Linked DNA regions of Saccharomyces cerevisiae S288C. The gene in region 1 interacts genetically with each later gene. Each region holds a gene or a part of one and is shown on either strand. Other genes may lie near its edges.

Region 1 (3,583 bases):
GAGGATTTGCAGGTAGAATCTGATGAATCCTGGCACGGGTTTGATTCTGATAAAGATGACGGCGATAACGACAATAATGAAAGTAGCGTAAAGCCTATTTTGAAGAAAGGAGCAATCACGGAAATATACGATGACTCAACTACTGTTGAATTGGAGACATTGGAACCCAATGATAACTTTGAATATTTAGCCCAGCTAAATAATGTCAAATTAGAAAAGGCAGAAAAAGTACTCAAACAAAGCATAAATAGAGCCACCAAATACGCGAAGTTTCTGGGCGTGGATGAGAAACAAAAGAAGAAGCCAAGAGTAAAAAAGTTCAGATATTTGACCAAAAATGAACGAAGAATAAACCAAAGAAAGGCAAACGACAACAAGCGTAGGAGATAATGCAGTCGCATTATCGTCGGGCACCGCCTGGGGTTTCTTGACGCTCAAACAGTGTTTGATTTTTTTTTGGAAAAGTATATACTGTGCATATGTATTTTTCGTTTATTATATGTAATATATCGAATAAACCATTCTACGGGGAAAATAGAACAAATATTTACAGCATTTGCATGATTTTATATGGCTTGCCCAACAAATTATTTGCTTGCAAACTTAATATAATACTCTGCGTCCAATTTGAAAACGACCCATATGCCTCTTCTAATTACTTCGAAATACTGCATTTCGCCTTGGAAAAAAATGTAGTCGCTATCTGCGGCAACTAATTTCAGATTCTGCGATAAATATACCCATAGCCACCAGAACCTCAGCAAAAAGTCAACGAGAATCGCCGAATGATACATTTTTTTCTTTAATGTGACGGCACTTTTGGATCTGGATCTTAAAGAGGTTAACGAGTCCAATGACCAATCCATCCTTACATCCCAAAATAACGTATAGGAAGAATTAATTAGCATAAACCATCTTTGAACGTGGTGTAGTCTTTCTTCGTTGATGGATCCCTCATACACTCTTGATCTCCAGGTGCAAAAAAGAATGGGAAGATTACAACTGTATTTCAATGCATTGAATAGTAAAGTTGCTTCGTGCAGTAAACGGTATTCTCTCAAACACTGCAGTAGTCTTACCAGTACAGGAAGAAGGGCTACGGATAGATCAAAATGTGTGAAGGGTTCTCTAAAAATTAGAGAGGTAAACAATGTGAAGTCTATCAATGGTTTTGCAAACGATGTCAACGTGTCAGAGATTAAAATGTAGGTATTCCTTAAGGAACGGGGGGAGGATTCTATCAACAAACATCTCCTAGTACAATATTTTATTATCTGGCACTCTTTCAACAGAAACCAAAATATAGTGACACATTGGATCAATGGTAGAAAATATACGATGAGAATGATATTTTTGAGTGGACCTTCTATAATATTCATGAACTCAAAAAGGAACACAGTGGCAAAGTGGAACGGTATAATAATCCTTGTTATCTTCAAAGCAAAATTTCTAGCTGTTCTATGCAATTGCTGTAGAGTATAACCTGGACGTATATCGTGCGGTACTCTCGTGAGTATGACTTGGGATACGTCTAAATTACTATGCAAGAAGAATTTTAATATCCATGTCCAGATCCAAAGGGCAAGTATTATGAGCACAATAAATCGCTGCGGAGGGGGAACATTTAATATATTTTGGAGATAAAGTCCTTCAGAATTACTTTCGCTTTTCTCCATATTTTGCGGCCCAACTTGTTGCAGAATTGAAAACTTTGTATAATACTAATAATAATTTATAATAATAACAATAATAATTTATAACAATAATAACAATGCCAAACAATTTATATGGGTAACCAGTTTTTGGTACTGTTTGCCATCAATATTGCGACTAAATCGGGAGCGGTTAGCGCTGGCTTGCACTTTTTGCAACTGACTCTATTTCTTTCATTGATTATGTTATTTTCAGATGACGAAATACGCCAAAAAAATTCGGGAAATAAATACTAGCGTGATATCGGTTTAGGTATATTACAAAAGAACACCAAGGTAAGGCATCATTAGTTATGTATGCATATTACTGACTTTTACCAAGCGGACCATGACCCGAGTTCAATGATTACCCCTAATACAATTTTTGTGTGTTCCGCCATATGAGCGAGACTTAATCTGTCCAAAGTATCCATGGTGCTGTGAATATACTTGTTAGTCTTTTTGAACTCACTTTCAATCACGAAGGAGCCTGGAAATCCGTTTCTGGTGGCACTCCCATGATCGCTACAAGCATAGCCACATTGTGTATCCCTGTAAGGAATGGATAGATAAGAGTTGATAATTAGTTTTATAAAATCAGTTAATGCGGGAGTAGTGTAGTCGGTGACAATCCCCACATGTTCATCTTCTGGATCAGAAACATATCCCGTCATGTCTTGCTGAAGCATCGCTCTCACATGCTTTTTCTGTTTGGCATAAGCTGTAAAAACATCAAGAGAACCCAACAATCCCCCCTCTTCGGCGGAATAAAAGTGAAATTCCACAGTGTTGTTAGGTCTAAATCCTCTCTTCAAAAAATTTTCCGTATATAATCTGAGAGCCTCCATATTAGTCACCGTGCCTGACCCATTGTCGTCCGCACCTGGAGCTGCCATTATGGATGGCAGTAGCAGATTGATAGAATCTTGATGAGAACCAATTATTATAATATCTTCTGGCGTAGTAGATCCCGTGACACGGACTATAATTGAATATTGCTTCCATTCTTTGTGATCAAAATGTTCAATAGTCAACGTATCTTGCGGAATATCTTTTGTAATATTAGCGATAGTTGCAGCTAACCACTCGGCAGATTCAAAGCCGTGATCGGACTTGTAGTAACGGGTGTAAAAACTTGTAAACTTTGCCAAGTTCTTGTGCATAGAGCCCTTGTCTATATTCTTAATCGAATCATCCACTACTTCTTTGTTCGATATCTCAGGAGGATAGTTATACGTTGGTACTGTTGGCTCTTCCTCCTTGTTAAAGAAAGGTAAGAAAGAAGTGTGTTTGGTCACATCAAAGAATTTGACACCTCTTCTTCGTAAGTTTAGCTTTTCTGATTCGGGAACCTCCATTACCTCATTCTCTCCTACTTGTAAAACCCTTAAAGGCTCATATGGATATGACCATGCGATGATGGCAACATTAAATAAAACAAAAAGCGACTGTATCCTCATATTGTGCTAATCAGCGGTTGATTATGTTACTTACTTTTTCGAATAAAGATTTTGTATTTCTTTAGCTTCGAAGATTGATAATTATTGAATATCAAGTTTCAGTTTACTATAGCGGTCCGAACATATGAAAGATTTTAGTAAAGACGCTGGCAAGCTTTTCAGTCAAAATAATACAAAAGGAAATAGATAGAAAAAAAGGAAATAATCAGGCCTCCATATTGGACTCAACTATCCTTCAGTACCGCAAAACTTATTGTGTCCATATATCCTATGTCAGCATACATCGCAATGAAAGGAGTAATAACAAACGTCGATGAGAACATAAGAAATGATGAAGATGTGGCTTTTGAGTACGAAATACAAAAGACACCGCAGAACATACTTACATGGAAAAGATATATCGAGTATTGGAAAGAGGAGGGAAGAACTGAC
Region 2 (3,700 bases), on another chromosome or scaffold:
CAACCTCTTTTGGATTTGTTATGGTTTTGTTTCTATAAAAATAATCTAATATTTCGTTGTGACAACCTGGTTTCTTTGTAGAGTGCCGCAAAACAGGTATACCTGTCTTATCTTCCAAAAGTTTTGCTTGCGAATAGTCCTTATCAGAATTGGAACCGGCGGTATTGCTAACAATCAAGAGTGCTTTGTTAGAGTATTTCGACCTTAAGGTTTCCCAGTGTTGCAAGTAATCTGGCCATATTTTGTCATCATGAGGGAAGGCGATGCAGTTGTCCTTATCCAAGACCACGGCCTTTATAGAATCGTGGATTGGTATAGGAAGATCGTTAAAAGTGGGGACAACTAGACTAGGCTTACACAGTGATGGGTTATAAAGCAACCGGAGCGTATTTAAGGTGCCACTGATGTTCATGACTAGGTAGAGGAGACGATGTAATGTAACTGCCGCCTTTCAGTTTGGCCCCATATATATATATATATAAACAGACGGATAATTATATCATATTAAATGCGATAGCATAAATTTCTCGATGCGCATTGGTAAATTGTAGCATGGCGCGAAGTCTCTCATGGATAATTTTGCAAAGAATCGATGTATATAACGAACCATAATCAAGATACTTGCTGGGATGGCTTTTTCTGGATCTCTTGCACTTTTTTGAGCAGTTGTGGTGACGTCTGTTTCACGTTGTCCTTTTTATTAGTAATCTTCTCATCTACAATAGTTTTTTTTGTGAAAAAAAACTGAATAAGAATATACCCAACCAAAATTGTGAAAATCAGCTGTAATAAACCTCTGTTATTCTCAATTAATTGTGAATCAAATATTGAGACATACTCCGAAGGTGGCTCTGAAAATCGTGGAGTATAGTCATTAAACGACAGACGAGGCACATCCAAAACTCTATTATTTTGTTCCACTTCACCCACTCTGGATTTTATGTCAAAGATATCTGGAAATATTTGGATAGGGATGATCGACTCGTGAGCCAGCGTAGTTCCTGGGTTTAACGAGGTGTAAATGACATTTTGTTCTGGCGACGGAATCTGCGCCAGTATAGTCCTCAAATACTTGTCATAATGGCGGAATGCTTCTTTACGTTCATTAGTGTCCTCTGGTAACTTAGGGTACTCTATTATAATCACTCTTTTTTCGCTATCAATAAAGGGCTGGAAATCTTCTGTATTATTACCTCGTAAGTTCAACACCTGGTCTACGTTACAATACTCCTTTACAAACTCTGCAAGATCATAGTATAAATCTTGAGGCAATAGGTCTACCTTTTCGAACTTAATCGCGGTTGAACTCCGTCTTATATATCTCTGTAACGAAACAAACTCTGTTTCAAATTCCAAGAAGTCCAATTTCCTCAGGCCTGGTTGATTAATAAACACATAAGTGTCAGCATTACATACACCTAAGAATTTCTCAGCCGCTTCAATAAAGGTGTCTCTTGGTAAAGTCACAGCCCTATCATAATCCTCTTGATACTTTAAAATACCGGGAGTTCTATCCAAAAGTACAAATATGTGTATAACATCTAGTTAGTAAGAAAAATGAAAGTTACTAAAGATTAATGTTTCTTGTTCTACATACAGTTTGTAAGAGAAGAATATTGCAGGAACATTGGTCTGGTTTTGCAATTCCTCCGAAGCACAAAAGCTTCCACACATAATAAGCAACAAATATTTCAACACAGTTTGCATCTTGCCTTGCTACTCCTAATTAGTATGCGCCTACGTTTCCTAACTACAAAACAGATAGGTATAACCTGCAACTTAACCTCCGCTGCTGATATTCTTGGCCGTAGTTAAGAGAGGTTTACATTACTACAGAGCTAACCCGTGTTGCATGATATCATCGATATAATTAAAGAATGCACATATGTCAGCGGTACTATCGCATACAATGCTCTATCAGAACTCTAGATAACGTTAGAACATATCCTCCCAGGTTTCGCCACATCTGTGGCCTCGTTACTCTATTCGTTTCACTCTTTCTTATCTATTTACAGCCCATCGAGCAACATTATCATGCCACACGTCGATCTCAGGCCGATCTGACAATCTTTAAAGGCATCAACAAGAGCAGCAGCTTGCCGACGTGGCAAAAGTCAAAGAAGAACAGAGGCAACTCGTCCTACGTGAAGCCACATACAACAAGTTAGGAACTATTAGGCGGAACCGCTTTCTAAGGAGCTTACTACTTTTAACAGTACTACTTTTAACAGTACACAGATAAAGAAACAAAAAGTATAAATTTGGGCGCCATCGACTGGCAAGCAAAACACGTATAGAGAACAGGCAGTAATGACGACGAAGCCACAAAATAGTAAGCAGGGTTTAGCCGAAGGAGAGATGGATGTGAGTTCACTTTTCAAGAGAACGGAAGTTATTGGGCGAGGGAAATTTGGTGTGGTTTATAAGGGCTATAACGTGAAGACTGGACGAGTGTATGCTATCAAAGTCTTAAATTTAGATTCTGATTCTGACGAGGTGGAGGATGTGCAGCGAGAAATTCAGTTTTTGGCCTCCTTGAAACAGATTTCCAATATCACGCGGTATTATGGGTCGTATTTGAAAGACACAAGCCTTTGGATCATAATGGAACACTGCGCTGGTGGTTCACTGCGTTCGTTGTTAAGGCCAGGCAAAATCGATGAAAAGTACATTGGGGTTATTATGAGAGAACTGCTTGTAGCATTAAAATGCATTCATAAAGATAACGTCATTCATCGAGATATCAAAGCAGCAAACGTTCTGATCACTAACGAAGGTAATGTTAAACTATGCGATTTTGGTGTCGCTGCACAAGTAAACCAAACTTCTTTACGACGTCAAACTATGGCTGGGACCCCCTACTGGATGGCTCCAGAAGTGATCATGGAAGGCGTTTATTACGACACTAAAGTAGATATATGGTCTTTAGGTATTACAACGTACGAGATTGCCACCGGAAATCCGCCATACTGCGATGTGGAGGCCCTAAGGGCAATGCAACTAATCATCAAATCGAAACCACCGAGGCTTGAGGACAGATCATACAGTACATCTTTGAAAGAATTTATTGCGCTTTGTCTTGATGAGGATCCAAAGGAGAGATTGTCAGCAGACGATCTTTTAAAATCAAAATTTATCAGGGCCCACAAGGCGACGCCAACGTCCATTTTGAAAGAACTAATATCACGATATCTACTATTTAGGGACAAGAATAAAAACAAATATAAAATAGAGGGCAGTATACCGGAAAATGAGCCATCAAAACCCAGTGAAGCTCCAAAACCATCACAAAATGGCGGGGGTGATGAAGCACAAAAGTCAATAGCATCAAATGATAATGAAATTAAGAGAGTGAACGAAGGCGATGTGGAAATGAAATGGGATTTTGATTCATTGAGTTCGTCGGATTATATTATTGAAAATAATATCAACCTCGATGCTTTGGCTGAGGACAACAACGAGTGGGCTACTGCCCAACATGACCTGTTCAACTATGCATACCCTGACGAAGATTCTTATTACTTTGACCCTACAAGTCATAATACTAGACCCTTTGTTTATCAAGGGACAACGATAGGAAAGGGCTATCCTGGTACAATAGCTCAAAATTCTACTTTGAATGCACCAGTAACAAATAACTATACGAACTCAAAATACCCTTCCAAAATGGTAGCTGGAACTACAAACACCTCTGGAACAC
Region 3 (5,597 bases), on another chromosome or scaffold:
CATACAGTTTGAAACCAAACCAGGGAACAGATGTCTTGACTACTGTTGCAACATTACTTGCTGTATTGTCTTTACCATTATCATCAATGTGGGCCACGGCTGCTAATAATGCATCCAAAACAAACACAATTACTTCAGACTTTACAACATCCACAGATAGGTTTTATCCAGGCACGCTGTCTAGCTTTCAAACTGATAGTATCAACAACGATGCTAAAAGCAGTCTCAGAAGTAGATTATATGACCTATATCCTAGAAGGAAGGAAACAACATCGGATAAACATTCGGAAAGAACTTTTGTTTCTGAGACTGCAGATGATATAGAGAAAAATCAGTTTTATCAGTTGCCCACACCTACGAGTTCAAAAAATACTAGGATAGGACCGTTTGCTGATGCAAGTTACAAAGAGGGAGAAGTTGAACCCGTCGACATGTACACTCCCGATACGGCAGCTGATGAGGAAGCCAGAAAGTTCTGGACTGAAGATAATAATAATTTATGATCAAAATTTACGGCTTTGAAAAAGTAATTTCGTGACCTTCGGTATAAGGTTACTACTAGATTCAGGTGCTCATCAGATGCACCACATTCTCTATAAAAAAAAATGGTATCTTTCTTATTTGATAATATTTAAACTCCTTTACATAATAAACATCTCGTAAGTAGTGGTAGAAACCACCTTTGCTTTTACGAGTTCAAGCTTTTTTCTTGCCATGATCTAGAACTCTCAGGCAATATATACAGTTAATCTTTTTTTACTGGGTTGTAGTTCTAATGTATTGTTTCGAAAAATAGCAACCAGGCACATATTATGTTCACCAAGTGGTGTATCCAGTACAGATTTCTTATTCCATAAATGAAACTGAAAACGGTTAAGTACACAAATAAAATGATGGTAACTTTACCATCCCACGTGTCTAAAGGTACGCTGTTTGGCATTTTGAAAATAGAATTATTTCCAACCAAAAAAATAATTGGTGCCACTGCTAGTATATTGTGATGGGATCTAAATGAAGTTTCCCATTTGATGGCAACATTATGCAGGAAAACAATAATGATAGGGATGTTAATGGCACTAACAAATAATAAAAGCAGAAGCAACGTCATATTATAATTTAGTAAGTTCAATTTCTGCTCGTTGTTTGATAGTTTCAACAGCGCTACTCTAATGCAGGTAGCAATTTGGATTACTAATGAGATAACAAACGCCATCTGGTATGGTATGTGAAAAAATACCAACAGTAATAAAAGCACAGATGCCATTAATCTTCCCTTACCATACGCTTTATGTTCAATAGTATCAAAAGCCTCTTTATCTTCAGTGTTTTTCTTTGATAACTTCCGTTGAAGGAATATTACTAAAATTTCCAAGGATCCAAAAATCTTAGAAACTAGTGCTAGTAATCCAACTGTCATAACCCCAAAGAGAATTCCAATAGTTGACATAAACCAATCTCTGATCCCCAAATAATAAAAATTTGCATGCATGTTTCTCTCGGATAGCAGAAATGGATAATTTAAACCGACAGGATCCAATAAATAAAGTATTCGTTGTACCAACTTATTATTAACCACAGGCGAAGCTAAGAACAGCGTAAAAAACATTAATATTCCGTGCTTTCTTAAAATATATCCCAAAGTGCTATCAAAGGAAGGAAACTCAGATGTCTTGTTGTACCAGTAGAACTGGTATGACAGTACGAGTGCTATAAACGCGACTGGAAAAGATGCTAGTGCTAATCTGTACCTGATAAACAGCATTTTCAAAGTTAAAGACCAATTAATAGTCATTTTAGCTTCTAAGGACATTCCGGGTGGAATAAAAAAACTTAATTGTAGCGATCTCGGTTCGCTTTCATTTAATGGGATAAACGGTGCTACATTATGCATATTTATATCGAGACTTTTGTTTATAATATTTAGATGCCATTTAGACTCGAAAGGTTCGTAAACCCATTGCCTTATGAAAGGCTGAAACAATGTCTCTTCGGAAGCAATACCTTCGTTGCTTGCCTCAATCTTGGTTTCTAATTTGTACGATAATAAAGAATCCCACAAATTACTGAAACTTATAACCTGCTCGATGTCTTTGCCATCCAAGTGTAGTTGTTCTCCAAAGAGCAATATTTGAGAAGGTGTAGTATTGACTATTTGTACATTGGAGACGTTGCGCAGTAATGCCAAAAGAAACCCCTGATTGTCCTCCATGCCTTCTTGTTCTGAAAATTCACCGTAAGTGGGTTTGCTTATCATCAAGTAGTCGTACTTCTGTAGTATATTCTTGCCAACACTAACGGCTTTAAACGGATTTTTTGCTTCTCCAAAAGAAGAATCAGCTGCGAACTGAGTATCTTTTGAAGACCTGGGCACTGTTAGAATACTATCAACAGCTGTTATACAGCTTAGATTCACCCTGGACTCTGTACAGAAATAGATCATAGGCATATCGAGACTAGTTAATAATGTGAAATGCAGGTGTTCAGTGGAGGAGATGTTACTCGGAATATTTATTTTTGTATAATTGTTGTGCCACTTTTCCAGGTTAAACATTTCAAAATCTAGGACATCGTTCATTTCCAAAGTAGCGTAATCAGAAAAGAAGTTGTCACTAAATTCTTGTAAGTTTTCTTGAGGATAATTTAACTTACTATTCATCCATGAGTAGTCTTCAAACCCTGAAAGCAATAGTTTTCTAGCGATTTGCAATCTCTGATTCAATGGCTTAACTTTTTCAGGTTTGGAGGCATCTATACTTTCCAATAAAAGGCGCGCTAGTACCTCTCTTAATTGCTTGCACCAAACAATGGCTAAATGATCAATTGGAGTCCAAACATCTGGAATAGTAGTTGTGAAGCTGGTGAACCCATTTTCTAAGCTAACCAAATCTTCTACAGATGCATAATCTGCAGGTAAAGTAGTATCCAATATACCGCCTGTAATGGAAACCAATGAAATGTTCTTAGAGAAAAAAGAATCGTTTTGGGATAACTGCTTTCTCCAATATTCGTTTGTATTTTTGTAAAGCTTTAAAATGTCACCATCAAAGGTTACTGGTGAAGCAGCATGAGGTGATGATAAGGTCAATATGGTGCTTATACTTCCCGGTACGTGGTTCTTCAAAGTTAGCATGACCCTGGATACAATACCGCCCATGGAATGTCCCACGATAATAACTGACTGCGGTTTTGGATGTGGGTAATCAGGGGTCCTTTCGTAAAGAGACAAGATGTACTTAATGGCATCATTTAGGTATTCAGCTTGATCAAGCATTGTTTCACCATGAAACGCAGTGAAATCTTCATTGAAATCTGCCGTAAAGAAGTCCAAATTTCGCACATTTTCGTTACGCAGAGTCGCCCTGGTATTGGAATCAAAATATATATTGGAGCAAGCGGAAGCAATCGATCTGCATTGCCTAAAAGAACCTGCATTTCCGGGTATAAAAAGTACAGGGATACCATCAAGTTGTAACTCATCACCATTTAAAGGTTCTCGGTCTACGCTTTGTTCTCGATACAAGTAAAGATGATACTTGTGTGCCAGTGGTGTATACCTCTCGTCAAATCCATCGATCCTTGCGTAAGATGGAAACATATAGATAGATTCACACTGAGGAGCATCTGCACCATTAAAAGGTTTCAGTAGCGATATCAATAAAAGCGAGCAAATGCTTAAAATGCCAAGAATAGAGAAAAGGCGATATGTGTAAGGTTTTTTTGCTATCTTATCATTGTTCATATATTTGGGGGAAGCTTTATCCTGGTCTTCACGCGTAGCGAGTACTCTCGAGTATTGACCAGATGAGTTAACTTTATTAATTATGGGCCGCGTTATAACACTAACTAATCTCCTGATACCCATAACGAAATGAAGATTTTTGTATGATGGTAAGCCTAAGATATAGGCCAATGCTTTAAAGTAGAGGGAGTATTTCGAGTGTGAATTTACTATCAGATGGAACTGCAAGGAATGTGTTGAGACTCATTTTTACTTTTTCTTGTTATGACTTGGTTGGTATATTTAGACCTTTTTCAAAATTCGCGCCATACAGGAAAAAAAAATGGATAATAAGAAGAAATGCATTTATTTGAGGGTACCTAGTGAGTTATGCAATTGTCTATATAAGAGTATGAATCTAACTTAAATACATCAAGCATTTGGGATGAAATCATGCGAAAAATCAAAAGGTCACAACCGTGTGAAATGGAAATTAAAAAAAACGTTAAAAATATGTAGTCTTGTGAAGGTGATAATATTACAGCCGGATGATACTTGCTATTTTTCTTTTGAAATTTATTGTAGTTATCTTTTTTTGTTTTTTGTTTTTTTTCATTATTATTGCGTTATCGGTGTTCATTTCGGTGATTTGAATCTTCAGTAATGTTGCCTCGACTTTCGTAGTAAACTTTGAATGTCAGGTTTGTTAAATGCCAATGCGTAGAAAGATGTTCGAGAGGTACAAAGTTGTGCTGCTCATGATGAATTTTTCTGGGTTATAGAAGAGTTCTGTTTCGCTTCTGAATTGATTAACGAATCATTTAATTTTTTTAGGGAGTTCGAAGAATTTGAATTATTGTTCTGTGATTTCTGCTTTTGTTGTTGTGCTTGCTGCTGTTGCTGCTGCTGCTGTTGTTGTTGCTGTTGTAAATGTTGTATATGCTTTTGTTTCAGTCTGGTGATATAGTCCCTACGATACTTTATGGTGGCTTCCCTTAATTGTTCGTAGGACTTCGTACCCAACATTGTTCCGAATCTAATCACCTGAGTATCATTTGAAATCTGGTTAAGTCTTGCCGGTTCATCTGAAAACTTGATCCCATATTCATTTTGTGGAGAATCATACTTCCACTTGTCGTAAAGTCTGACAAATTCGTCGTATTTGGAATCGTAAACATTAATCGAGTCAGTATCGTTACTACCTTCTCTTGAATATTGTTCTTTTTCGATTGAATCGAAATCTACAAAATCCATTAAAGAACATGCAGACTTGGTCGACGATGTTGTAAAATTTGGCATACGATCAACATACTTAATATTAGATCTACCAACTCTCTTCCTGAATTTTATTGGATACTCTCTCGAATGAATTTCCAAATTTTCTTGGAATGGGTCGTACAGTTCAGTTTTTTTGATTCTTTTGGTATCCAAGTTGTAATTATCTTTGTTTCTCGAACGGCCATTTGAATCATATATTCTGATGTCATCAGATATCCCCTTCAAGTATTCTGGTAAATGTGAAGAATAAAAAGATCTATCTATCTGAAACTTGGATGACGCGATAGATGCAAAGGGAACATTACTAGTCGAAAAATTTTTAGGCAACGACATGTCAAATACAGGATTAAAGGGATCGTCCGTTAAGTTGAAAAAGACATCTGCGTCTTCAATTTTCCGTTTCTCCATCTTTTCCTGAACGAACTTTCTTGCATTTTTTTCTTTGCTGTTCAATAGAGCATCCACGTCTTCCAATACAATGTCAGGAATTTTGGAAGATGGTAGTTTGACATAAACATGAGACGTAATTGGCTGTGATGTTGAAGAAGAGGATGCATTCGCGAGTTGCTTTCCGTTTTCAGTCTTAAGGGCATTTTGCTGT
Region 4 (5,271 bases), on another chromosome or scaffold:
CTGATCCAATTGCAGATGGTCCTACAATTCAATTATCTAATACTGTGGCTTTGCAAAACGGTGTTACCTTGCCTCAAACTCTAGAAATGGTCTCCCAAGCTAGAAATGAAGGTGTTACCGTACCCATAATCCTAATGGGTTACTATAACCCTATTCTAAACTACGGTGAAGAAAGATTTATTCAGGACGCTGCCAAGGCTGGTGCTAATGGTTTTATCATCGTCGATTTGCCACCAGAGGAGGCGTTGAAGGTCAGAAACTACATCAATGATAATGGTTTGAGCCTGATCCCACTAGTGGCTCCTTCTACCACCGACGAAAGATTGGAATTACTATCGCATATTGCCGATTCGTTTGTCTACGTTGTGTCTAGAATGGGTACTACTGGTGTTCAAAGTTCTGTGGCCAGTGATTTGGATGAACTCATCTCTAGAGTCAGAAAGTACACCAAGGATACTCCTTTGGCCGTTGGGTTTGGTGTCTCTACCAGAGAACATTTCCAATCAGTTGGTAGTGTTGCTGACGGTGTAGTGATTGGTTCCAAAATCGTCACATTATGTGGAGATGCTCCAGAGGGCAAAAGGTACGACGTTGCTAAGGAATATGTACAGGGAATTCTAAATGGTGCTAAGCATAAGGTTCTGTCCAAGGACGAATTCTTTGCCTTTCAAAAAGAGTCCTTGAAGTCCGCAAACGTTAAGAAGGAAATACTGGACGAATTTGATGAAAATCACAAGCACCCAATTAGATTTGGGGACTTTGGTGGTCAGTATGTCCCAGAAGCTCTTCATGCATGTCTAAGAGAGTTGGAAAAGGGTTTTGATGAAGCTGTCGCCGATCCCACATTCTGGGAAGACTTCAAATCCTTGTATTCTTATATTGGCCGTCCTTCTTCACTACACAAAGCTGAGAGATTAACTGAGCATTGTCAAGGTGCTCAAATCTGGTTGAAGAGAGAAGATCTTAACCACACGGGATCTCACAAGATCAACAATGCTTTAGCACAAGTTCTTCTAGCTAAAAGATTAGGCAAGAAGAACGTTATTGCTGAAACCGGTGCTGGTCAACACGGTGTTGCCACTGCCACTGCATGTGCTAAATTTGGCTTAACCTGTACTGTGTTCATGGGTGCAGAAGATGTTCGTCGCCAAGCTTTAAACGTCTTCAGAATGAGAATTCTCGGTGCTAAAGTAATTGCTGTTACTAATGGTACAAAGACTCTAAGAGACGCTACTTCAGAGGCATTCAGATTTTGGGTTACTAACTTGAAAACTACTTACTACGTCGTCGGTTCTGCCATTGGTCCTCACCCATATCCAACTTTGGTTAGAACTTTCCAAAGTGTCATTGGTAAAGAAACCAAGGAACAGTTTGCTGCCATGAACAATGGTAAATTACCTGACGCAGTTGTTGCATGTGTTGGGGGTGGTTCCAACTCTACAGGTATGTTTTCACCATTCGAGCATGATACTTCCGTTAAGTTATTGGGTGTGGAAGCCGGTGGTGATGGTGTAGATACAAAGTTCCACTCTGCTACTCTAACTGCCGGTAGACCTGGTGTCTTCCATGGTGTCAAGACTTATGTCTTGCAAGATAGTGATGGTCAAGTCCATGATACTCATTCTGTTTCTGCTGGGTTAGACTACCCAGGTGTCGGTCCAGAATTGGCATATTGGAAATCTACTGGCCGTGCTCAATTCATTGCAGCTACTGACGCTCAGGCTCTGCTTGGCTTTAAATTATTATCTCAATTAGAAGGTATTATTCCCGCTTTGGAATCTTCTCATGCTGTTTATGGCGCTTGCGAATTGGCTAAGACGATGAAGCCTGATCAACATTTGGTTATCAATATTTCTGGTAGAGGTGATAAAGATGTCCAAAGTGTCGCTGAAGTCTTGCCGAAATTAGGTCCAAAGATAGGTTGGGATTTGAGATTCGAAGAAGACCCATCTGCCTAATGAGTAATATCTGATAAGGAACGCTTTTATTTAGCTTTTTAACTACATAGACGAATATAATATACGATCGGGATACATTAGCATATTCAGCTCTTTTACCTCTCAATTTGCTCAAGATTAGTATCGTGACCAATTTTAGATCATTTCGGTCAGAACAGCCACATTTTCGCGTAATTTAAAAGTTCAATTATTGTATGCGTGACACACTATATTAGCGTCAACTGTTAATAAGGAAGTAGTGGATAATAACGGTTCAGGTTGCTTCACAATGCTTATTTCAAAATCTAAGATGTTTAAAACATTTTGGATACTAACCAGCATAGTTCTCCTGGCATCTGCCACCGTTGATATTAGTAAACTACAAGAATTCGAAGAATATCAAAAGTTCACGAATGAATCTTTACTGTGGGCACCGTATAGATCCAATTGTTACTTTGGTATGAGGCCCAGATATGTCCATGAAAGTCCACTAATTATGGGTATCATGTGGTTCAACAGTTTGAGTCAGGATGGCTTACATTCGTTAAGACATTTTGCAACGCCTCAGGATAAATTGCAAAAGTATGGTTGGGAAGTGTATGATCCAAGAATTGGTGGTAAAGAAGTTTTTATTGATGAAAAAAATAACTTGAACTTGACTGTTTATTTTGTAAAGAGCAAGAACGGGGAAAATTGGTCAGTGAGAGTTCAAGGTGAGCCTTTGGATCCCAAGAGACCATCTACAGCATCTGTCGTATTGTACTTTAGTCAAAATGGTGGCGAGATAGATGGAAAATCTTCCTTAGCAATGATAGGTCATGACGGCCCTAATGACATGAAATTCTTCGGATATTCTAAAGAATTAGGCGAGTATCATCTTACAGTAAAGGACAATTTTGGTCACTACTTCAAAAATCCGGAATATGAAACCATGGAAGTAGCACCAGGAAGTGACTGCTCTAAAACAAGTCATTTATCACTTCAAATCCCGGATAAAGAAGTTTGGAAGGCTCGTGATGTTTTCCAATCTCTAGTTAGCGATTCGATACGTGATATACTGGAAAAGGAAGAGACAAAGCAGCGTCCTGCTGATTTAATACCAAGTGTTTTAACTATTAGAAATTTGTACAATTTTAATCCTGGTAATTTTCATTATATACAAAAGACATTTGATTTGACCAAAAAAGATGGGTTCCAATTTGATATCACTTACAATAAACTTGGCACTACTCAAAGTATTTCCACCAGGGAACAAGTTACGGAGTTGATTACTTGGTCACTAAATGAGATAAACGCGCGTTTTGATAAGCAGTTTAGTTTTGGAGAAGGTCCCGACTCAATTGAAAGCGTGGAGGTCAAAAGAAGATTTGCTTTAGAGACGCTATCAAACCTATTAGGAGGAATCGGTTATTTCTATGGGAATCAACTAATTGATCGTGAAACAGAATTTGATGAGAGCCAGTTTACAGAGATCAAACTGCTGAATGCAAAAGAGGAAGGTCCATTTGAACTGTTTACCAGCGTTCCGAGCCGTGGCTTTTTCCCACGTGGATTCTATTGGGATGAAGGTTTCCATCTTCTACAAATTATGGAGTATGATTTTGACCTTGCCTTTGAAATCTTAGCGAGCTGGTTTGAAATGATCGAAGATGATAGTGGTTGGATTGCTAGAGAAATTATACTGGGTAATGAGGCAAGGAGTAAAGTTCCGCAGGAATTTCAGGTGCAAAATCCCAATATTGCTAATCCGCCAACTTTATTGCTAGCATTTAGTGAAATGCTTTCTAGGGCCATTGAAAACATCGGCGATTTCAACAGTGACAGCTACCACCAAGTCATGTTCAATAGTAGGACAGCCAAGTTTATGACGAACAATCTAGAAGCCAATCCTGGCTTGCTAACCGAATATGCCAAGAAAATTTATCCTAAGCTATTGAAGCACTATAATTGGTTCAGAAAATCTCAAACAGGACTTATTGATGAATATGAGGAAATATTGGAAGATGAAGGAATATGGGATAAGATTCATAAGAACGAAGTTTATAGATGGGTTGGGCGTACCTTCACTCATTGTTTGCCAAGCGGTATGGATGACTATCCTAGAGCACAACCACCAGATGTAGCAGAATTGAACGTAGACGCATTAGCATGGGTGGGCGTTATGACAAGATCCATGAAGCAAATTGCTCACGTGTTGAAGTTAACACAGGACGAGCAAAGATATGCACAAATTGAGCAAGAGGTGGTCGAGAATCTGGATTTGTTACACTGGAGTGAAAATGACAATTGCTACTGTGATATTAGCATCGATCCAGAAGACGATGAGATTAGGGAGTTTGTATGTCATGAGGGTTACGTCTCCGTATTGCCCTTTGCATTGAAGCTAATCCCCAAAAACTCACCCAAGCTAGAGAAAGTAGTTGCTTTGATGAGTGACCCAGAAAAAATCTTTTCAGACTACGGGCTGTTATCACTATCGAGACAAGACGACTATTTCGGCAAGGATGAAAACTATTGGAGAGGCCCAATTTGGATGAATATTAATTACTTGTGTCTTGACGCAATGAGATACTACTACCCAGAGGTGATTCTCGACGTGGCTGGTGAGGCTAGCAATGCCAAGAAACTGTACCAAAGTTTAAAGATTAATCTCAGTAACAACATATACAAAGTTTGGGAAGAACAAGGTTATTGTTATGAAAATTACAGTCCGATAGATGGTCATGGTACTGGTGCTGAGCATTTCACAGGCTGGACAGCACTTGTTGTCAACATCCTTGGACGCTTCTGAATCTATGTAGATATTTTCAGTCATATAAACAGATATGTAACCAGATATGTACCAGTATGCAGGATGAAAATTATAAATGTTCCAGCTATTCGAAAAGGGCCTCGCATCTCTTAGTTAGAGCCAGCATTTTCAGCTTTTTTTTTCTCGCGTTTATTTACATTTCGATGCGGCTGTGAGAAAAAGTTAAAAAATCGTGGAAACCAGCAACTGGTAACTAGCAGTCTGGGCCATTGCAGCTAAAAGCCAGACAAATAAACAATCGAAAACACACTCGAAACATGCATTATGAAATGTCACATTTTTTTTTTTCTTTTGGGGATTAATGGTTGCGAAGTGAGGTCTTTTCTATTTACTGCGGTAAGATGAATAAAAGTTAGGGAATGTTATTGTTTACAAGCTGGATACTAGATCTCAAAATGTTAAAGTGTAAGGACTGACAACAAAATATGCTGCACCGAAAACAAATTAAGAATCTGAGGAGGGACTATTTAAGTGGAAAGAAAATTGAAGTTCAATGATCGTGTTTTCCTTCTGCTTATCCAA

The links.
Region 2: mutations in ERD1 (region 1) and BIG1 together harm fitness more than expected from each alone (negative genetic interaction), as found in Saccharomyces cerevisiae (3 studies listed by BioGRID).
Region 3: mutations in ERD1 (region 1) and BST1 together harm fitness more than expected from each alone (negative genetic interaction), as found in Saccharomyces cerevisiae (4 studies listed by BioGRID).
Region 4: mutations in ERD1 (region 1) and CWH41 together harm fitness more than expected from each alone (negative genetic interaction), as found in Saccharomyces cerevisiae (3 studies listed by BioGRID).

Annotation. Positions count from the first base shown.
Region 1 is NC_001136.10:1,295,011-1,298,593, forward strand, and holds ERD1 (Erd1p), read right to left. Parts: upstream 1,677-3,583; coding exon 588-1,676; downstream 1-587. Other genes in the region: rRNA-processing protein RRP17, read left to right, coding at 1-390; YDR415C (putative aminopeptidase), read right to left, coding at 2,027-3,151; mRNA splicing protein SYF1, read left to right, coding at 3,422-3,583. UniProt on the Saccharomyces cerevisiae protein: Required for the retention of luminal endoplasmic reticulum proteins, affects glycoprotein processing in the Golgi apparatus.
Region 2 is NC_001140.6:314,262-317,961, forward strand, and holds BIG1 (Big1p), read right to left. Parts: upstream 1,708-3,700; coding exon 1,598-1,707; intron 1,511-1,597; coding exon 613-1,510; downstream 1-612. Other genes in the region: GEP4 (phosphatidylglycerophosphatase), read right to left, coding at 1-412; putative serine/threonine protein kinase KIC1, read left to right, coding at 2,311-3,700. UniProt on the Saccharomyces cerevisiae protein: Required for normal beta-1,6-glucan synthesis.
Region 3 is NC_001138.5:83,373-88,969, forward strand, and holds BST1 (Bst1p), read right to left. Parts: upstream 3,863-5,597; coding exon 773-3,862; downstream 1-772. Other genes in the region: alpha-factor pheromone receptor STE2, read left to right, coding at 1-503; EPL1 (Epl1p), read right to left, coding at 4,475-5,597.
Region 4 is NC_001139.9:443,099-448,369, reverse strand, and holds CWH41 (mannosyl-oligosaccharide glucosidase), read left to right. Parts: upstream 1-2,226; coding exon 2,227-4,728; downstream 4,729-5,271. Other genes in the region: tryptophan synthase TRP5, read left to right, coding at 1-1,958. UniProt on the Saccharomyces cerevisiae protein: Cleaves the distal alpha 1,2-linked glucose residue from the Glc(3)Man(9)GlcNAc(2) oligosaccharide precursor highly specifically. Seems to play a role in beta-1,6-glucan synthesis.